Linked DNA regions of Sus scrofa. The protein of the gene in region 1 purifies or fractionates together with the protein of each later gene. This does not show direct contact. Links are inferred from orthologs where the notes say so. Each region holds a gene or a part of one and is shown on either strand. Other genes may lie near its edges.

Evidence for each region. The genes of interacting proteins can lie anywhere in the genome.
Region 2: the proteins of MAGOHB (region 1) and PYM1 purify together in Homo sapiens (co-immunoprecipitation; 3 studies listed by BioGRID and IntAct, with this or other methods). This does not show direct contact. The link is inferred for Sus scrofa from reciprocal best matches to the Homo sapiens genes MAGOHB and PYM1.

What each region holds. Positions count from the first base shown.
Region 1 is NC_010447.5:61,428,435-61,432,163, reverse strand, and holds part of MAGOHB (protein mago nashi homolog 2), read right to left. Parts: intron 3,530-3,729; coding exon 3,471-3,529; intron 2,789-3,470; coding exon 2,678-2,788; intron 145-2,677; coding exon 62-144; intron 1-61. UniProt on the Homo sapiens protein: Required for pre-mRNA splicing as component of the spliceosome. Plays a redundant role with MAGOH in the exon junction complex and in the nonsense-mediated decay (NMD) pathway.
Region 2 is NC_010447.5:21,325,350-21,330,151, forward strand, and holds the start of PYM1 (partner of Y14 and mago), read right to left. Parts: upstream 3,053-4,802; 5' UTR 3,035-3,052; coding exon 2,911-3,034; intron 1-2,910. UniProt on the Homo sapiens protein: Key regulator of the exon junction complex (EJC), a multiprotein complex that associates immediately upstream of the exon-exon junction on mRNAs and serves as a positional landmark for the intron exon structure of genes and directs post-transcriptional processes in the cytoplasm such as mRNA export, nonsense-mediated mRNA decay (NMD) or translation.

The sequences.
Region 1 (3,729 bases):
TCTAAAATGAGCCTCTCTAACAAATTATGTCAATTTAGTCCAAATGCTTTAACATACTCACTTTGACTGATTAACATCAATAAGAGAACCTATTTTTGATGTGGTGAAAGAAATGTGTTCATCTCCAATCACGATTTCAAGCTCCTGAAAAAAATTAAACAGAGAAATGTAGTTAATATAAAAATCCATCCCAAAGACAGTTTACTCTTGCGATATGAGGTCCCAATTTTATCTGCAAGCTTTCCAGCGATCACAGGAAATAAGAAAAAAAAAAAACTTGACCTTTTCTATAAACTATAAAATAAAAACCTCATCAACTGCTTCAGGAGTCCCCAATACTAGGATGAATCAACAATTCACAGAAACAGACTCAGACTTTTTAAAACTTACGGTTACCAAAGGGGGACGGGTGGGGTGGGGGATGGCCTGGGGCTCTGGGATGGGCATAACACACTGAAGTACATGGAATGACTGGCCAATGGGGACCTGCTGTGTAGCACAAGGAACTCTATCCAATATTCTATGATAATCTATGTGGGAAAGAGAATGGATGTGTGTACATGTATAACTGAATCACTCTGTGGTACAGCAATTATCACAACCTTATAAATTAACTATACTTCAATAAAAATGAAAAAATGAAAAAGAAATTGCTCTCCAGAGATGCCATAAAGAAGATACAATCAAATGAATGATATACTTCAGAGTGACACTGGGATGTTCTTTATAATGTCAATAAAAATTAATACTATGGGTATAAGTCTACTTTAAATATGATAAATACATTTATCCTTCCTACCAGACTCTACAGACACATTGCATAATATTAACAACAGAACCACTTTAGCACCTACTGTGTGTTAGAGCCTATGCCAAGGACTTTACATTCTCTGTAATCCTTAAAATTAGGCTAAAAACCCTGACAAGGGTAGGCTTTATTAGCACAATTTTGTGAAATTCAAGACTGCCAAAGCAGAGGAAAAAAATCGTTGATATTTACAATCACTAGTAAATGATAATACAAATTTCTGAACCTTGGATCATAGGACTAAGAAATTCATAGTCTTCTGACTTCAGAAAACAATTAAGAATAAAACAAATGCAACATAATACAGATGCTTCCGGCGTGCCAAAATTACAGTATAAATTTTTCTCCAAATTTTATCTGCAAATCTAAAATGAAAAATTAAAAAGTTATAACTGCTTTCAGTTTAAATTAACAGCTTTTTCAGTTTAAATTAACAGATGCCATTAAAGACACTCCTAGCTATACGCTTGATCAGAAGACCTAATTAGCACCGTTCATAGCACACACAAAATGGAGATTTAACAAAGGCTCTCTAGCGGTCATAAAGTCTGTCTTAAAGATTCAATAGACAATTTCTAGAGCATGAGTAATCCTCCCCACTAATTAAAACGCATGAACACATCAAGTGAGTAGATGAAAACACTGGGTTTCCCTCAATCTAAGAGATGATAAAAGCTTTGTTGCTATAGTTTTTGATTTTTAATGCATATGCATACTTGCATAAGACAAAAAGATCAAAATTTACTTTGTAAAAGTATTTACAGCCCATAAAATACTGATAACTATTACCTTTGCTTTCTTAAATAATGTTTCTTTAAATAGAAGTGTTAAGTTACTGCTACAGAGCGTCAGCATCTGTTAGATTTCTCCACATTTTCTTGTAGTCAAAGGAGCTGTTAAACAGTATAATCCTTGGGAATATACAACAGCGAAATTAAATGTTTCTTCCTCCTGGGGTCATATCTCATTTCTCCAAGAGGTGAAAAGACCCAATTCAGAAATCAAACTGTCTTTCTATAGAGTGAAATTAGGCCTTCAGAGTTCTTCAGCAGCCCTCTGAGAAACATCAATTTTTCTGAAGGGAATATGAGAGGGAAAGGCAATGGTTAGTTTGAACAAAGAAACCAATCAAGTCCCTCTCTGGGGCAAATAAGAATTTCCAAAGTTATAAATCTGAAGAAAGTGAATTTTAGGTAGTTAATGAGAATCCTAATGCTCAAATTTAACAAACACCTGTGTTTTTTTCCTATTGTATTAATTATGAATTTATTATTCCTAATAAAAGTAATTAACCTACAATAGAAATGATTCATAATAGTGTGAAAAACATTGTAACTTTAGCTGGGGCAGCTGCAAAGTTCAGAAAGCATTAATTGACAGCTATGCATTGATTCCTTTACTTATAGGAGTAGCACAGAAAATAAGGCAAAGTGAAATAAAATTAGTATTTACCAGATGCCTACTAAATGGAAAACCCAAAACTCAGTGAGGATCCAGTCTAAACAAATAAGGAGAAACATAACAATTATACTAACAATTTTTATTATTACATATTTAAAGAATTACTAAACATGGGAGTTCCTTCATGGCTCAGCAGTTAATGATCCAACTAGGACTCATGAGGATGCGAGTTCAGTCCCTGGTCTTGCTCAGTGGGTTAAGGATCTGTCACTGATGTGAGCTGTGGTATGGCAACAGACGCCGGCTCAGATCCCGCGCTGCTGTGGCCGTGGCATAGGGGCATAGGCCCACAGCTATAGCTCTAATTCAACCCCTAGCCTGGGAAATTCCATATGCCTCGGGTGCCGCCCTAAAAAGCAAAAATAAATAAATAAATATTTTAAAAATAAAGAATTACTAAATACAAACCTGCCGACCAACCCTGTCAGGAGGAGGCCACAAAGCATCATCTTCCTTTGTAATTTCACTGTCGTCAATAATTCTCTTCAGTTCTTCCATTACACTCTTGTGTACATAAGCCTGAAAATAGGTTATAAAAATTTCAGGGTCTATTCTCCCCATACCTCAGAAAGAAATAATAAAATTACAAATCCTGAGTATTCAAATAGAATATCAAAAAAAAAAAAAAACCCTTAATTCTGATTCTAAAAGCACAAGTTGGGAGAAAATCATCCATCCTTATGATTTTTCTTCACTCCCTTGCCCTTTCCTTTAAATATATATTTTTCCCTCTCCACATCCTAGTCCCTTTTTAAATCTTATCCTCTTCATTTGTAACATGGACTCAAATATTTCAGAATGGTTAATGCAAAATCTACAGGGTGAACAGAGAAAAATACAAATACACATCACAGTTGATACTTTGAACTTTTTCTCACACCTAACTTTTGCACCTCTTATTTAAAATTCATACTGTGTTTAAGTCATGATTATCAATTAGTTTTAAATGACAAATAGGGTAAAAGACAAAGTTAGTTATGAATAAATTAAATAATATGCTCAAATGTGGGACTACAATTTAATATATTCAGATTGCTTCTTTTGTTGTTACAGATGCTACAACTGGAATCCCTTTTCAATCTACAAATTAGCTGCTTTTTTACAGCCTTTAATGTACTTTAAAATATGTAAATAAAAACACAGACAGGAGGAAAATGGGCTTAATGCAAAAAAAAAAATGAAACATTTGAAAAGAACTTACCTCCTTTCTGATCATGACATCATTTTTATAATTGCTGTTGTTGGCGTATCTAAGTTTTCCTGTGGGGAGTGGAAAAAAATTCAATCTAAATAGCAAAAACTGCTAAAAAATAAAATAATGACACTATAAGCAATTTTGAAGGTAGAAACCATTTTATACTATTACTTGTATTAATATTTCCTACCTCCTAGCATAAGATTAATGCTGGATATATGTTGGCTAAGTTGAAGCCAGGCAACTTTTTAAATTCATGCCTTCA
Region 2 (4,802 bases), about 40 Mb from region 1:
TAAGGATCCAGCATTGCCACAGCTATGGCATAGGTCACAGCTGCTTCTTGGATTCAATAACTGGCCTGGGAACTTCCACATGTCGCAAGTGTGGCCAAAAAAAAAAAAAAAAAAAAAAAAAAGAAGAAGAAAGAAAAAGAAAAATAACAAACCACCTTGATTTTTCAATGAAACAGAAAGTGAGGCCATTTGCCACAAGAAGCATTAAAAGGGATGGTCACAGAATGCTGGGAAAAGCAGGGGAAATAGCCATGGCAGAATGTAAGCAAATCGAGAAAGAAGAATTGAAGCTGTGATCTTGGCTGAAGTTAACATTAAGTTATATTATACTGAAGGTGTATATCTGTGTCTTTTCTCTAGCCATGTACTAGGGCCTAGAAGCAGAAGCCAAGAAAACAGGTGATAGGATGATCAAGGTAACAGAAGTGCTGACTTAGTACAGAAGATCAAAATGAATGAAGAAAGCAATGATGATATAGTGACTCGTCACATAGGTCTAGCAGGGCAGCATCAAAAGTAGTCATGAAGAAGTTCCTGCCATGGCACAGTGGGTTAAGAATACCACTACAGTGGCTCAGGTCACTGTGGGTTTGAGCCTTGGCCTGGTACAGTGGGTTAAAGGATCCAACAACCACAGTGTAGGTCGCAGCTGTGATGCGGCTTCAATCCCTGGCCAGAGAACTTCCACAGATCAAAAGTGTGGCCATAAAATTAAAAAAAAAAAAAAAAGTCATCATGAACATACTGGTGGACTCACCAAAATGGGAAATGTCAAGCACCAGAGAACCTAAGGAGGGGAAAAAAGCCGATTCTGTGGGTGTATAAGTAATAAAGGTGATTGGGTAAAGAAGCTAAAATAAGTGATGGAGGAGCACCTGAAGGGGGAGGCAGTGTCATAGGTGAGGTCCTATGTAGTAGGTCCAGATTGTAGTGACTGTGATGTGTAACTGGTTTGAAAATTCAAAGGAAAGTCAATGGTCTCATTCGGAGGAACTAAAAAGATAAGAGTATTCCAAAGATGTTGCAGTTACTGAGAATAAGTGGTGACACTGAGAAACAGAATGGAGAAAAAAATATGATACAACACCTTTGGGTCCTTGTGGGCAGTGGATGATGGCCCTGAGGTTTTAGAGAAAATGCTCTAGCTGCATTGCAATACCTATGAGAATTACAGTGACAGTGGTAGATCAATGTGCTGGAATTAGGGAAATAAAAAAGCAATGTGATTCCTTCTCCTTTTCCACATAGAGATAACAGAAGATACCTCTTGGTGGGAGAGTAGGGCAAGATGTGATATCTGGATTTTCACTAAATCAGAAAGAAAAGGGAGTTATGGAGTTCCCAATGTGGTGCAACAAAATGGGTGATGTCTCTGCAGTGCCAGGACACAGGTTCAATCCCTGGCCAGGCACAGTGGGTTAAACAATCCAGTGTTACCATTGCTTCGGCACAGGTAGCAACTGTGGTTCGGATCAGATCCCTGGCCTAGGAGGGTACTACATATGCCCTGAGGTGGCCAAAAAAGACCCAAAAAAAAAAAAAAAAAAAGCGCAGTGGGGGATTATCACATCAAAGCAAGTTGAGGATATGGCATTATCACTGCAGCAGCTTGGGGCACTACCATCCCACGGGTTCGATCCTTGACCTGGGAATTTCTTAGTATCATGCGTACCGCCAAAAAAATAGAAAATGAGTAATGTTTTCAAAGTACACATTGAAAGGAATTAGTTGAAGAAGGACCTACTATGTAGAGTGCAGAAGAGATTGTATCACTATGAAATGTGAGGTTGCAGAGAAATAGCAGAGACTTGGGTCGTCATTAAACATGATAGGAGAGGTGGGTGAGATGTAACATGGAAAACATCAAAGCAAGAAGCATAAAAGGTACATTTTAAAACAGACTGCATGTACCAAAGCACACACACACACCATCACTTCTACAGAATACACATACACAATGAGGGTGACAAAAACCAGTTAACACCTTGCCTTATACAACAGTTTATAAATCGCTTTCACATACACTATCTTATCTGATCATCACTGAGTAAATATTACTATGCACATTTTTCTAAAGATGAGTAAATTAGGATGGGACACAACCAAAATGAAAATCTTGATTCTCAGTTTTCAACACGTAAACCTCACATACACAGGAGACACTTAAGCATCTCAATCAGACAGGCTGGAAATTCTTTTCTATGCATAAGGAATAGTGGGTTCTATAAATTTGTCCGAGGGCTTGCTAAAGGCCACTAAACACTTTCTTGTTTGCCTTCTTCCTCCTTAGATCCCTCAACTCCAGTCACCATCACCAGAGAAGGTACAGAAGGGTGGTGCCATCAAGGAGAAAACTCTAGCTGAAAGTTTTAATATGTTCCACTTCCCTTCACACCTCTGAACTTGAATGACCCAACGATGAAGATGAGGGAGTGGAAAAAGCACTATGCAGCAATGAGGAGGGCTCCAATAGATATAGCTTTCAGAAAAAGAATTAAAACGGGACTGGGATAGGGCAAAAAGCAGGCATACTGAGATGGGGGAGGGGAAGAGGGGAAAAGCAGGAATTGGAGGGAACTGAGAGTGGAGGAGCCCCCCCAAGGCTGAAGAACCCAAAGCAGATATAGAGACTCCAACTGCTGGAGAAAAGCTAAGGGTCCACGAGGGTCCCGGAGCAAAGACCAGCACTGAAGGACCCCTGGGTTTGGGTGACCGGAAGCGGAGACCCCCAAACACGAGACCAGAAGGGGGCGCAGGTGACACCCCGTAGGAGAGAATGAATGGGGAAGGCGGTCCGGAGGGCGGGGCAAAGGAGGGGCCCCGGGATGGGCGGGGCACAGACCCCTTTCCAAGTCCGAACCCCTGCCCCGAGAGCCCGGGGAGAAGCGGCTCCGCGTCTCCCGCACTCACCGCCGGTCTCGTCAGTTACATAGGGAGTCGCCATCTTGAAAACGCAAACCACTTCCGGCGTGAGCGGGCTGGGGTCCCGCCCCCCTCCCCACCGGAAGTGGAGTGGATCGCAGCAAGCCACCATTTTAGTCTTAAAGGGAGAGTACACCATTTCATAGACTGAAGCGGAGGAGGAGGAAGCGAGTAGAAGCGGAAGACTTTAATCTAAGAGCCCGTGGGCTCTTTTACTGCCACTGATACCGTTAAGTGAGCGCCTGCTGCGTATATAGCAGTTCTCTGGATGCCGAGAAAAGTTCCGAGGCACAGCTCCTCTCCTCATAGACACTCTTCGTCCGTCTAGGACCTGCGAGAGAAAAGGGGGCAAGGCCCACCTGCACCCAGGAAGGGAGGAGGGGCTAATAAGTGAGAAAAGGAAGAATATTCAGGCCCGAGCCTGAACCCAGGTCCCAGAGCATCTGGGGGACCTGGGGCGGGGCAGCGTAGCTCTGGGAACGCACTGGGGCGCTCCATGTTGGGGGCGAAGACCCCAACTGACCCTCTCTTAGAAGGTGGGGAGGTCGAAAGCGCGTGCTAATTGCCCTTGGCCGCTCAGCTCGACCCTTCGAACCGAGAACCGCGAGAGGGGCGTGCAATGCGGAGGACGCTGCCGGTCAGTCACCTGTCCCCGCAGCCTCAGAGTTGCCCGCGGCTTCTACGGCTTTGGAGGCGGCGGGCCAGGCTGGGCGGGCAGCCCTGGCCTGGCTCTGCCCCTGGAGCGGTCCCGGAGACTCGGGCGACGAAGTGACTACGGCCCCAGTTTGCTCCGGCCTTCGACTCGGGACCCTTCTCGGGCTTGGCCCCAGGGTCAGGAGGGCAAGGTGAAGGCTTCTGGGCGGACCCAGTTAGTATTCTAATTAACCTCGTCCGAGGCACTGTGACTGGGGATCCAAAGCAGGGCAATGCGCCAATAATCTGGGCCATGCGGTCACTCCCTCTGCAGCCCTGCCCTGCCCCGTGCCTCCCAATTCTTTAGACAACCCAAAGGTTCTCCCTCCCCCTCTCTTTTCGGCAAATCTCGTTCCTTCTGGGCTAAGTCCTGCTGAACTCGTTTCCCTGCAGCTTGGGAGGGGCCGGCTACAGGTTCCTCTCCTCAGGTGTCTGCCCTGCCCCCTTCTCCCCTCATGTTGCTTTTTCCTTATTCACTCGTTTATCTTCCTCCAAATCCCCCACTTTGGTTTAGGTTGATATCCAACAGAAGGACTTACTGGCCACCTCTTACACCAGTCTGCATTTCCCACTTAAAGAACAACAACAACAAATCCTAAGAGCAGTGGCTGACCAGGAACTTGCTACAGCTTTGAAATGAAACTTGAGAAGTTTTCTAGGGTCACAGCTTGCCTTCCCTCCCATACTTCACCTTCCCGAGTCCCACCAGAGATCCAATTCAGAAGATCTCAGGAGTTCCCGTCGTGGCGCAGTGGTTAACGAATCCGACTAGGAACCATGAGGTTGCAGGTTCGGTCCCTGCCCTTGCTCAGTGGGTTAACGATTCGGCGTTGCCGTGAGCTGTGGTGTAGGTTGCAGACGCGGCTCGGATCCTGCGTTGCTGTGGCTCTGGCGTAGGCCGGTGGCTAGAGCTCCGATTCAACCCCTAGCCTGGGAACCTCCATATGCTGCGGGAGCGGCCCAAGAAATAGCAACAACAACAAAAGACAAAAAAAAAAAAAAAAAAAAAGATCTCAAAAAGACTCATTTAAAAACTGACTTGCATTCAATACAAAGTCATTGCAAGTGTTCTAACACTGCCATCTTTAACCCCTGCTCTTTCAACAAATGTGCTTCATCCCTGCTGGGTTTAGTATCCTGTCCGTAGCCCTGTTACTAATGATTAAAGGTAGGAGTAAGATGAAGCT